Linked DNA regions of Sus scrofa. The protein of the gene in region 2 interacts with the protein of the main gene of each other region in a biochemical or structural test. Links are inferred from orthologs where the notes say so. Each region holds a gene or a part of one and is shown on either strand. Other genes may lie near its edges. The genes, in order: CS and CRYAB.

Region 1 (6,108 bases), on a different chromosome or scaffold from region 2:
TCACCGAATTGATAGCTGAGGTCAGTCCTCTGAGGCACTGCTGGGCTCTTCTTTATGAAGTTCTTTGCTAAGACCTACCTCACCTCCAAGCCAGAGGTGCATTGGTTGGTAGGTGTAACGCTGAGTACCAGGAAACTTGGGAAGAGAAAATGGCATTCTTTCTCTTTTTTCCAAGTCCAAGCTATAAACGAGGTTCTTTATAAACTGGGTCTATCTAAACCTGGCTTAGATGGTACTGAGACCTCTGAACTTTGATACTGCTGTGTGAGGAGATAAAAGAACTGTTCACTTGGGGCTGGGGTTTGTAGATAAAGTGCCTTAGTCCTTGGGTCAGTTCCCCCCTGCCCTCAGGTCAATGACAATGAAAGGCCTGGGGAGGTAGAAAGGTCCTAAGTTCTTGTCTACCGAGAGGAATTAGTTAAGAATGATATGAAAGCAGTTTCCATCGTGGCGCAGTGGAAAAGAATCTGACTAGAAACCATGAAGTTGTGGATTCAATCCCTAGCCTTGCTCAGTGGATTAAGGATCTGGCATTGCCCTGAACTGTGGTATAGGTCACATATGTGGCTGGGATCCCGTGTCATGTGGCTGTGGCATAGGCTGGCGGCTCTAGCTTTGATTCAACCACAGACCTGGAAACCTCCGTATGCCTCGGGTGTAGCTCTAAAAAGCAGAGGAAGAAAAAGATAATGAAAGGTCATTTTAGTGCTATGGTTCATTTATAACGGTCTCTGGGGAGCATGATAAAAAGTGTATAGAAGACAGCCAAATAGGTGTAAAGGTCCGGAGGTCCTATGGGAGTGACAGCAGTGATGTGACAAAAAGGGAGGTGATGAAGTTCCATTGTGGCACAGCAGAATAAAGATCCAGTTTGTCACTGCTGTGGCACGTGTTCATCCCTGGCCCAGGAAATCAGGCTGCAGGCCTTGGCCAAAGGGGGGGGGGTGAGGTGATTTTTGTTGCGGGTTGGTTTTTGACGCCTCAACTTTTTTTTTTATAGTCACACCTGTGGGTTATGGAAGTTCCTGGGCTAGGGGTGGAATCAGAACTGCAGCTGCTGGCCACAGCAATGTTGGATCTGAGCTTCTCTCATCTGTGAACTTCCCCACAGCTTGAGGCAGTGCCAGATCCTTAACCCACTGAGCGAGCCGGGGATAAACCTGCATCCTCATGGACACTATGTCAGGTTCTTAACCCACTGAGCTACAGTGGGAACTCCAAGCTCATCTTTCAGCTAGATAGATGTGGGGTGGACTGGCTGTGTGGGGTTATGTGACTGGAGTGGCACTGAAACTAATGATCTGTACCCAGAGGGCCTGACCTGCACCGGAAGCCTTCATATTAAGGGGGCCTAGTAAGATTTGGATTTCTTGGCACTAGACACAAAACTGAGAGTCCGCAAAAACCACTGGATATTCAGGGACCTACCTCAGCTTTCCTTCTCCACATTCTGGGGTCTGTTGGTATCTACAATGCCATGGCTTCCGCTTGCCTCAAATGACCTCCACCAAGTAGCTAACTCTAACATCACTGCCTCTGTCCACATTGTATCACCTCTATGGCCATTAAGTCATTGACCAAAGACACTGTTCAAGATAGCATGCCAAAGAAGTAGGACCACTTGCATTGATAGTGTATTAAGGGGTTGACTTCCGAGGACCTTTAAAAATCGAAGTCCTTAGCGCTTTTTCACTAAAAGCCATCTCAGAATTAACCCCAACTGTGGATAAGGGTTAAGGAGAAAGCCTAAGAAGGAAGTTAACTGGGGTCTCAGGCACATACTTAGCCACCTATACGCTTCCCCCCGCCCTTACACCCTTAATTAGCCTACCTCGGACGGTCCAATCCTCCCCATCACAACTGCTGTCAACGGCTTAGGGCCCGCCCCCCACGCAGGCCGGACCAATGGCCGAGCCCGGAGCAAGCCCTTGAGAGGGGGCGGGAGCGGGTTCCGGGCGGTAGGCGGGGCTTCCTTGAGGACCCCGGGCTGGGCGCCGCCGCCGGCTCGTCTACCCTTTCCCTCAGCAGCCTCCTTTCAACCTTGTCCCCCCCCCAAGCCAGCGCGGCTTCTGGGGCAGCGGCGGCGGCAGCTCCCGTTCCTGCCGCATTTCTCTTCCCTCCTTCCCTCCCCGCCAGATCTCCGAATTCGCCTGCCATGGCCTTACTCACTGCGGCCGCCCGGCTCTTCGGAGCCAAGGTGAGTAACTAAGGGAGGGAGCGCGCCGTCCTGGGGTGGGGCTGAGGAGACTGCAGGCCCTCAAGCTCCGGGGTCTCCCTCCCCTACCCAGACGCACTCCAGCGCGTCTTAAAGGCACCCTGCGCTTGGCTGGCCGCCAGCCCTGCCTGGAGCTCCCAGGGCCATGTGCTTCGCTGGCCTTCCGGCCCCTGGGGTGAAAGGAGTGCTACTCGCCCGGCTTGCGGTCTTGGGTGGGTGGGGAGGCCGGACCCTACTGTCACCTCGCATGTCTGGAGCGGCGGGGTCGGGGGTGCGGGCGGATGCTTGGCCTTGGAAAAAGGAGCCGCTAATGCAGAACATAGGTGTTGTGTTCCATTGGAGTTAGGAAAAGAGCCTGTTTGGAGGAGGGGGCGGGGTAAGACAAGTGGCCGCGGTAAGACAAGCGGCAGGGGTGAGCAAGTGTGCTCACTCTATCCCTGGACCAAAGCTGGAGCAGTAGCTAATTTCGGCTTCTGCTTTGTAGAAAGGGCCTTGTCAGTTTCTGAACTGCCTGCTTGCATTTTTCCACCCAGTTACTTTAGTGATCAAGCCGTAGCAGTCCTTGCTAGAGGAATGCGACCCTGGGTCCTCTTTGTCCTTGGAACTCTTGTACTTTTTATGTAGGAGGAGCTTGGGTGGGTGGAGCGCCTGTGTAAAACCTTCTTCATGATTATCACATATGATTGGAGAAAGAACCGGAAAAGTTATTTGCCCAAACTGCAGGCTAAGTGAAGATCCAGGGCAGAAGATAGTAATTCCAAGGTTACATGACTGGTCCTCCTACTTACTCACTCAGGTTTTGTTATTAGTTCGCTCTACCTAGGAGAGGTTCTTCTTATTCTGTGGGGTCTTTTACTTGACTTTTGCTACCCCTGGGACCATAGGAGTATTGTTGCAGGTAATGGTGCTTTCAATTTCATATTGCCAAAATTACTTTTGTCGCTGGGTAACTTGACCCTTTAAACAGAGAAACTGCTGTGCTGAGGGGAGTCCCAGCCTTCTAATCCAAGGAGGGACAGTTCCACAAGTGACCTTGACTCCTGCAAAGAACTTATACTTTCTCTTTTGCAGACAGATTAAAGCTGCCAGCACCTGAAGGGAAGGAAAGGAAAACTTTAGAATGGTGTTGGCTTACTGTGTGTTATCTTGCATGGCTGGCAGACAAGGTGAGGCCTATAGGATTTACACTGGGGTTCTTTCAGGCACTCAGCAGCAGAGTGGAGGCTGATCATTTGGGAGATACATGTCTTATTTGACAGTAGTTCTCCCACTGCCAGAGAACAGGGTAAGGAAGCCTCTTGGGAAATGAAGCAAGTTCTAGATAGTGTTTTGGCAGAATACAGGACACTATAATTAGCTCATTCCAGAGCTGCTAACCCAGACCAGATTGTCTAACCCTAGGGTGAGTTTGAAAAAGCTTTTAGAATTTAGATTTGAATTTATTTTGTCTCCTAAGCCTCTGGAGAAACTCCGAAAGCTTTTGGGTTGACCAGGTTACCTAATTATAGTGTCATTATTGTTTTGTTTACTTTCCTGTTAAAGATGCACCTAAGGATTCCAGAAACCTGTATATTGGAAGCCACTAGAAGGCTTTTGACCCTTAAAATTAACAAAGCCCAATAGTCTGAGGAGTGGAAATTTCCTGAGATCTAAGCAGTATAGCCAGGATATCAAAAAGCCTTTCACTTTGTCAGCATTGCCAGCTCCTGCCTGAGCTTTGCAGATTATCCTGTGGCTTAATTGGTACTCAGTTTTACTTTTGCTATTAAGGTAGGCTTTAGAAGGCAAAAATAGTCTTTTAACCCCAGAAAACTGACCTCTGCCCACTTTAATTCTCAGGGTTAGGTGTGGTTTCACTTTTTCTGAGAAATTTTTTTAATCTCACTAGCAGACGCAAATGCCAGTCATTGTTTTGTCATTCCACCCTACCCCCGTCAGGTAATTTAATCAACATTTGAGTTGGAGAGACCACCTCTTCAGAGCCTTAAATTATTTGACTTCTTGTTTATTTGAATGAATTTCTACCAGGCAGTGGCTTTAGAATTACATGTGGGTGTCTTAGCTTTGTGCTGTAAATACTGTCTTTTCATAGGTGATTTAGGTTGGGAATTAGAGTAGGGCCATCAGTTAACTTCTGGATTCTTTTTATTTATTTATTTATTTTTTTTTTGTCTTTTTGCCTTTTCTAGGGCCACTCCTGCAGCATATGGAGGTTCCCAGGCTAGGGGTCAAATTAGAGCTACAGCTGCCGGTCTACACCAGAGCCACAGCAACTCCGGATCCGAGCCGCATCTTCGACCTACACCACAGCTCACAACAATGCCGGATCCTTAACCCACTGAGCAAGGGCAGGGATCGAACCCGCAACCTCATGGTTCCTAGTTGGATTCGTTAACCACTGCACCACGACGGGAACTCCAACTTTTGGAGTCTTAATGCCAGAGTGACTTTACCAACCTTAGTTGCTGCTTGTACCATTGAGATTTGTTCCTCTGAGCTAGGATGTTTGGTAACTGAGTAAATCAATCCAAAAGTGTTTTTAGATTATTTCTAGACTTTTTCATGACATTTAAATTGATACTCATGATTCCTTTACAGTAGACCTACACCACTGCTGAACACCTCTTACATAAATCCTAGTCTGAAATTGGGTTCAACAAAACTGAGTCATGGAATTTCTGTTGTGGTACAGCGGAAACAAATCCAACTATGAACCATGAGGTTGCAGGTTCAATCCCTGGCCTCACTCAGTGAGTTAAGGATCCAATGTTGCCGTGAGCTGTGGTGTAGGTCACAGACACAGCTCAGTTCTCGTGTTGCTGTGGTTGTGGTGTAGGCCGGCATCTGTAGGTCTGATTAGACCCCTAGCCTGGGAACCTCCAAATACCGTGGGGTGCAGCCCTACAAAGACAAAAACAAAACAACAACAACAACAAAAAAAACTGAGTCAGTTTTGTCCTGTGAAATGTTAGGCTTAGAGCCCCAAACTTTTAAGAGCAAGCAATCAAATCATTCATCTTTTTCAAGCACTTGCCTTCACTTTATCAGCCTACCCAAAGTAATGGCGATTTCTTGATGCCTACTAGATGGACCAAAGATGAAAAGTGGAGAATAAAGCCTCATCATGTGCTTTATAGTGTTGGTATGATTGCATTTGTTCTTCCTAGTGGTCTTTAGATTGGTAGCAGGTGAATGCATGGGTGTGGGGAGGCATCGAGGTGAGTAGTGGTGAAATAGATAATCAGAGGAGGGAAGGCTGGCATTCCTCATTCTGAAATCCAGGTGGGCAGAAGGCAGGAAAGCAGACTTGGTGGATTTCCCTAAAGCCACAGAGTAATTCCTTCTGCCCTGTTTTCAGTGCCTTATGTGAAAGAGTTGAGTAGGATTTGAGTGAAATTTAAAACAGTAGTGAGGCAACTTTAGCAGTAGATCTTAGGATCTCTTTCAGTTCTTCCCTCAACTACCCTAACTGCTATATTTCTTTTAACATCTTATCCTTTAAAAAGGTCTGTAAGTTCACAGTGGGCATCACCACTTGGGGTGCTTGTTAACGTTGCACATTTGCAAATCCTCCTTCAAATTTTGATTCAGTGAAGGTGGGATGAGATCTGGAACTTGTATTTTTTCAGGTGCCTCTGTTGGCTGAGATGTTTGGTGATCCCCGACTCTTGAGCCAGTAAACCAACATTCAGTCCTTTTGACAACTATATTTAATGTATATGAAACTTTGAGTGTTGGAGCCCTTTTTTTAAATTTTTAAAAAAATTATGGAGTTCCTATCGTGGCACAGTGGAAATGAATCCGACTAGGAACCATGAGGTGGTGGGTTCAATCCTGGCCTTGCTCAGTGGGTTAAGGATCTGGCATGGCTGTGGCGTAGTCTGGCAACTACA
Region 2 (6,135 bases):
AATCCCTGCTGTATCTCAAGCATTTATCCAGACAGGCTCTCAATTAACTGATTTCCACATAGGTCTCATGTATTAGGAGCTGAGTATAGCTCTGAAATCTAGGCAAACCAAGTAGTTCACATTAAGATGAGCTAAAGAGAAATGAATTCCTGAACATCTAAAAGTCCCAAATGCCAGGGCCTTCCAGATGTAAGCAGTTAAGGTAATTATATAAAGCAATCAGATCTCTGACAATCACTATTCCTAAATCAGTGGTCTTTAACCTTGACTGTTGGTATGTTAGAATTCCCTAGGGAGCTTTTAAAATCTGATGCCTGGAAGTTCCCATTGTGGCTCAGCGGTAACCACCCGACTAGTATGCATGAACATGCGATTCTATCCCTGGCCTCACTCAGTGGGTTAAGGATACGGCACTGTGGTGAGCTGTGGTGTAAATCGCAGACATGGCTTGGATCTGGCTTGCTGTGGCTGTGACGTGGGCCAGGGGCTGCAGCTCTAATTCAGCCTTGACCCCTAACCTGGGCACGTCCACATGCTATAGGTGAGGCCCTAAAAAGACCAAAAAAAAAAAAAAAAAATCTGATGCCCGAGTCCATCCCTAAAATGTCTGATGTAACTGACCTGGGATATGCCTGAGGATTGGGATTTTTTTTTTTTTTTTTTTTTTAGTTCCGCTGGTAATTCTAACATGGCCAGGTTGAGAGCCACTGACTTAAATGAGAAGTTAACCTTCCATCTATCCTATCTAAGGCAGTCAAGTCAAAACAAAGATCACTTCTCTAGCCAAAATAACAATAACAACAGATCTATCCCTGTTCTAGACTCTATGGCTTAGGACTGAAATGTTGCCAGCTTCAGAGGCTCATGGCAGCATCTGGTACAATGTACACCTTGGGTGAATGAGCAGAAAAGAAAGCCAGCTACATACCTGGCGCTCTTCATGTTTGCCGTGCACCTCAATCACATCTCCCAACACCTTGACCTTGAGTTCCTCGGGGGAGAAGTGCTTCACATCCAGGTTGACAGAGAATCTGTCCTTCTCCAGACGCATCTAAAAACAGCAAGGTGGGGCAGGGGTAGCAGAAAAAGTGGTAAGAATGGGGATTACACTAATACAGCCTCATCATTCTGCAGACTTGCTTTCTGCTCGGGTAGTTGGTCCTCCCCTTTTAAGCTAAAAATCCTTTTTTGAATAAACATGGTTCTCTGGTTCAGGGGGCACACCACTTGGTCATCAGGCCCAAACTTTATTTACAGGGAAAAAGGCCACTCAGGGGATAAATCGCAAGGATGGGTCTGGGCATGGCTTCTGCTGCTTCTCTGACCCAATGCCTGGCCTTGTCATTTGTCTGTGGTACAAAGGCTGCTTCTTCTTGCTCAGGTCTCTGCCAAGTTTCCCACCCACTCAATCTGGAATGTTCTGCTGGCTCTGATTGTCCTTCCAAAGCCCTTGTCCACTCAGCTCCTGTTTATTTACACTTGAAAAATTTTAAACCAGAGTGTTATCTGTGACAGCTTCTGTCAACCTTATCTGTTCCCCTCATTTTCCCACACTCCTAGGACAAGTTGGGGGGTCAGAAAACTGGACCTATATTCTTTCCTCGTGAGCCTCGGACCCAGGCCAGTGCCCTGTCACAGCCTTGAGAAACCTGGAAAATCACAGAAGAGGGAGTGGAAGACAATAGTGGTTGCTGTCTCCAGCTGCACGCAGCAGGGATGAGGTAGGACTGTCTCCTGGCTCTGAAACTTGAAATGATAGTATTTGTGAGGAGTGTGAGGTGTTAGAAGAGGTGAGCAGGAGTCTGAAGGCAGCCCTTGCACTGTAGATCATTATGAACCAAACTGGAAAGGGACACCCTACTTAGAAGAAGAGGATAGAGAATGACCTTTGTAGCACACGGGGAAAATATAAGAAGTGGAATACACAGGGGCGTCAAATCCAAACAGGTGCCTGCGTGGGGGGGAGGGGAGGAACTAGGAACCCCATCTTTCTCCACTGCAGGACACACAAGTGCCTAAAACCCTTGAGACCCTTAGACACAGCCACATTTAGGCTGGGAGGAAGAGGAAAGTGGATGGGGACGCTTCCAGGAGGCTCCAGAATGCACTCTCCTGTCGGGGCAGAGGGGATACTTACCTCTGAGAGCCCAGTGTCAATCCAGCTGGGTGCCCGCAGGAACGAGGGCGGCCGAAAGTAGAAGGGGCTCAGGGAAGTAGAAGCTGGGAAGAGATCAGACTCCAACAGGTGTTCTCCAAAGAACTGGTCAAAGAGGCGGCTGGGAGAGTGGAAAGGAAAGAAGGGGCGGCGGATCCAGGGGTGGTGGATGGCAATGTCCATGGCGGCTGGGTGGATGTAGAGGGTCAGCTGGCCGGTCAGCTCCTTCAGCTGCAGCTCCAGCCAGCCCCTTATATACGCAGTCTTGTGAAGCTTCTGGAATGGTGATGTCAGGGGTTTTATTATCCCAGCTCACCACCCGTTCATGGAGACTTGTGATCGGGGATTTGGCAGTGTGACACATACCCAGTACTCACTGAGCTAAGAAAAGAGAAATACAGACACGTCTGAGCTGGCCAGTGGCTTGTCCTGGTCTTGTTTCACTAGCTTTCTGTCCACACCCAATGGCACCCTTCCCCCATCCCCTTCCCTGGAGTTGGGACCCAGTCAGGAATCCCAAGCAGGCGGGCAGCGGGCCCCTCCTCCTCTCCAGTCCAGCATGCCAAGGGAATGGGGCCAACAACTATCTTGGGCCTGGGCAGGAACTGGAATCTTCCTAGGCTGGGCCCCAGGGACATTAACTCTTTGTGGGGCCCTGGAGGAGAGCAGTGATCACCAGCATGTCAATGGCAGGTTTCCGTGTGGTGCTCTGGGTTGCCCCCGGTTCAGAGAGGCCCCTGATATGTCAAGACCAAAAGGCCCCTCACCGCACCCCCCAAAGAAAGGGCAGAAAGTTGTTTGCATCTTTCGCTTTACGTGGCTGGCAGAACCTTAAATCCAGGGGAGTTTTATGGAGTAGGGTGCCTGCTGCCTGCAAGTGAGGAGGAGAAGGAGGGTGTGGAAATGTACACCCTTTTTCGCGAGGGTCTCAGCGAGGCCTTTCCCGGACCTCCGCACCAGCCTCCCCTGCCCAGCTCGCTCCGCGGCCAGGACCCCCAGCTGTCCCGGGGGAGGGGGGAGGGAGGGGGCGGGGATGTGACAGCTGAAGAGTGTGCTAGGGAGGGGACGGGGGTCCAGGCGGCGCGGGTCACACAGCCGTCGCGGGCGCTCCTCGCCCCTCCCCCCAGGCTCGGCACTATTTTGGGTGGTGTAGACCCCGCCCCCACTCCGAACGCACCCTGGCCCTACGGCGGCAGCTGGAGGGGTCCCGCTGCGACTGTTGGGGCCGCACCTCGGACCTGAGCCGCCGCCGCATCTGCAGCCATGTCGGGCCGCTCGGTGCCACATGCCCACCCGGCCACCACTGAGTACGAGTTTGCCAACCCGAGCCGCCTGGGTGAGCAGCGCTTCGGGGAAGGTACGGCCCGGACACCACCCCCTTGCCTCCCACCCCCACCTCCTGAAATTCTGGGCTGACCTCCCAAAGATCCTGGCCTCCACCCCACTCCAGGCTTAAGTGAACTCCTGGGGCGAGCCGTCTCCCACCCCAGACCCCCCCACCCCACCCCTTCTAAGCTCGGCTCCCTCCCCTTCCTGCCTACCTTGGTGCGGGCTGTGCCCGCGGTGCTGACACCTGCCGCGTCTGCCTGGGCGTGGGGGCTTCCCCTCCGACCCCCCAGATCGCGTTAGGTTTGCTCCCCGCCCCCATTTCCCTTCTCAGTCCCCTCTGTCCAGTCCCTGTCATCCCTCCCTCCCCTGCTTCTTCCGACTCTCCCCTCCTCGCTCCCCGGGCCTCACCCCCGATCTCCCCAGAGTTCACCTCCTTCCCACCCCTCGTCCCTCATCCCGCCTCTCTCCTTCTCCCCCTCTGCCCCCCAGGCCTCCTGCCAGAAGAGATCCTGACCCCCACCCTCTACCACGGCTACTACGTCCGGCCACGGGCAGCCCAAGCGGCGGAGGGCAGCAGGGCGGGGGCCTCGGAGCTTCGGCTTAGTGAGGGCAAGTTCCAGGCCTTTCTGGATGTGAGCCACTTCACCCCAGATGAGGTGACCGTGAGGACTGTGGACAACCTGCTGGAGGTGTCTGCCCGGCACCCCCAGCGCCTGGACCGCCACGGCTTCGTGTCCCGAGAATTCTGCCGCACCTACGTCCTGCCTGCGGATGTGGACCCCTGGCGCGTCCGCGCCGCGCTCTCCCATGACGGCATCCTCAACCTGGAGGCGCCTCGGGGTGGCCGACATTTGGACACAGAGGTCAATGAGGTCTACATCTCCCTGCTCCCTGCACCTCCTGATCCAGAGGAAGAGGAGGAGGCAGCCGGCGTTGAGCCCTGAATGTCACAGACCCAGCACCCAGTTGAACCCCTTGCTAGCCCCCGCCCCCACGGTGATACGGAGCAGCTGCCCACCACCCTAGAGGTAGCAGCATCCTTGGGGGAAGGGTGAAGTGCATGGTCCACAATGTATGGTTTGGTCCCTTGGGACGTGTCATAGCGTTTTTTCGTTTAGTTTAGGGTGGAGCTGAATAAACCCAAATCTCAGGGCCTGGTTTGTGCTGCTCCCTATTCTGTGACCTGGACAATGGGATGGGCAGGGAGGGAAAGACAAAAAGGACAGCTAGACAAAAAGCTGCTCAGTTCGATGTACCCAACGTCACAGCACCCTGAGCTCACACTTGGATGCTGAGATCACACCCGGAAGCTGACACTGGCTCCAGATCAAATTCCTGGCCGTAATTTTCTCACAATGCAACAAAAGAGAGTGATCCTGGGAGGGAAAAGGGATATGCCATCCAAACAGCCCAGAGGGCACTGTCTGAGCTGGTGATTAGAGACACAAAAACAAGGGTCTCCAGACTGTCTGGCCTGTTTTGGGTAGGGGTTGGGAAAACAGCTTTTGGCTTCTGTGTTGCCTAAGGCCCTGTTTTCCCACACTAAGATCTGTCCACTGAAAATGGTCTCCGATTCTGAGGGATCAGTTATGTAGACATAGGGGCACTGCCACAGAAGCCTCTGCCATTGTCACCAAAACAGAGTCTCCCTCCTCTCTGCCTATGAGAGAAAGCACTTGTTTCTAGTCTTGTATCATCCCAAAGAGAGGAGTCACTGCACCACTGCAGCCAATCCAAGACTAAATGCAGGGGATCTAGGGCTGTTGGTATAGTGGTGACGGCTAGGGAAACTTCCTTTGTAAGAGGAGTCTTAATACGACGGGAATGGTGTATTCGGGACAGCCTGGAGGATTGACCTCTTAATTACTCTCTATAATCAAGAAAGCATGTGTGTGTATGATTTGGAGTGTCCAGAAGACCTCCCTGCCCCAATATAAATCTATATGGTGTGATGGACACCTGAAATTCTTCCATTAAAGTAGTAGATACTTTTTTTTTTTTTTTTGCCTTGTGGAAATTCCCAGCCAGGGATCAAACCCTCACCACAGCAGCAACCCAAACCACAGTATTGATAACGCCGGGTCCTCAACCTGCTGAGTCACCAAGGAACTTCTGAAGTGGTTGGTTCTTAACTTTTTGGGGGTTTCAGACCCTTTTGAAACATCTAACAAAAGCACTAGATCCTTGTCCAGAAACATACACATGCTCCCAAATTTGTCATGCAATTTGAATAGGTTCACACAGCTCTTGAGATCCACTTATATGCCCCTCTTAAGAATCTGTGGAGAAGTTCTGGTTGTGGCACAGTGGAAATGAATCCGCCCAGTAACCTTGAGGACTCGGGTTCGATCCCTGGCCTCCATCAGTGGGTTAAGGATCTGGCGTTGCCACGAGCTGTGGTGTAGGTCGCAGACATAGTTCAGATCCCATGTTGCTGTGGCTGTGGCATAGGCTGACAGCTGTGGCTCCGACTCAACCCCTAGCCTGGGAACTTCCATATGAGCCGGGTATGGCCCTAAAAAGCAAAGGAAAGAAGAAGAATCTGTGGACCCCACGATACAAACTTTCACTTGAAAAATTTGACTCTTAAAGGATTGCCATGTATTAAAAATCAAAGCAGGAGTTCCTGTCATGGCTCAGCGGTTAACGAA

What was found.
Region 1: the proteins of CRYAB (region 2) and CS form a complex in vitro, tested with the Homo sapiens proteins (3 studies listed by BioGRID). The link is inferred for Sus scrofa from reciprocal best matches to the Homo sapiens genes CRYAB and CS.

Annotation. Positions count from the first base shown.
Region 1 is NC_010447.5:21,696,605-21,702,712, reverse strand, and holds the start of CS (citrate synthase, mitochondrial precursor), read left to right. Parts: upstream 1-2,149; 5' UTR 2,150-2,155; coding exon 2,156-2,197; intron 2,198-2,345; exon of another isoform or gene 2,346-2,360; coding exon of another isoform or gene 2,361-2,427; intron 2,428-3,286; coding exon of another isoform or gene 3,287-3,381; intron 3,382-6,108. UniProt on the Homo sapiens protein: Key enzyme of the Krebs tricarboxylic acid cycle which catalyzes the synthesis of citrate from acetyl coenzyme A and oxaloacetate.
Region 2 is NC_010451.4:39,639,467-39,645,601, forward strand, and holds the start of CRYAB (alpha-crystallin B chain), read right to left. Parts: upstream 3,974-6,135; 5' UTR 3,697-3,973; intron 3,513-3,696; coding exon of another isoform or gene 3,419-3,512; exon of another isoform or gene 3,283-3,418; intron 2,537-3,282; 5' UTR 2,522-2,536; exon of another isoform or gene 2,432-2,521; 5' UTR 2,339-2,431; coding exon 2,138-2,338; exon of another isoform or gene 1,608-2,137; coding exon of another isoform or gene 1,561-1,607; exon of another isoform or gene 1,052-1,560; coding exon 929-1,051; exon of another isoform or gene 651-928; intron 1-650. Other genes in the region: HSPB2 (heat shock protein beta-2), read left to right, coding at 3,419-3,512, 3,974-4,428. UniProt on the Homo sapiens protein: May contribute to the transparency and refractive index of the lens. Has chaperone-like activity, preventing aggregation of various proteins under a wide range of stress conditions.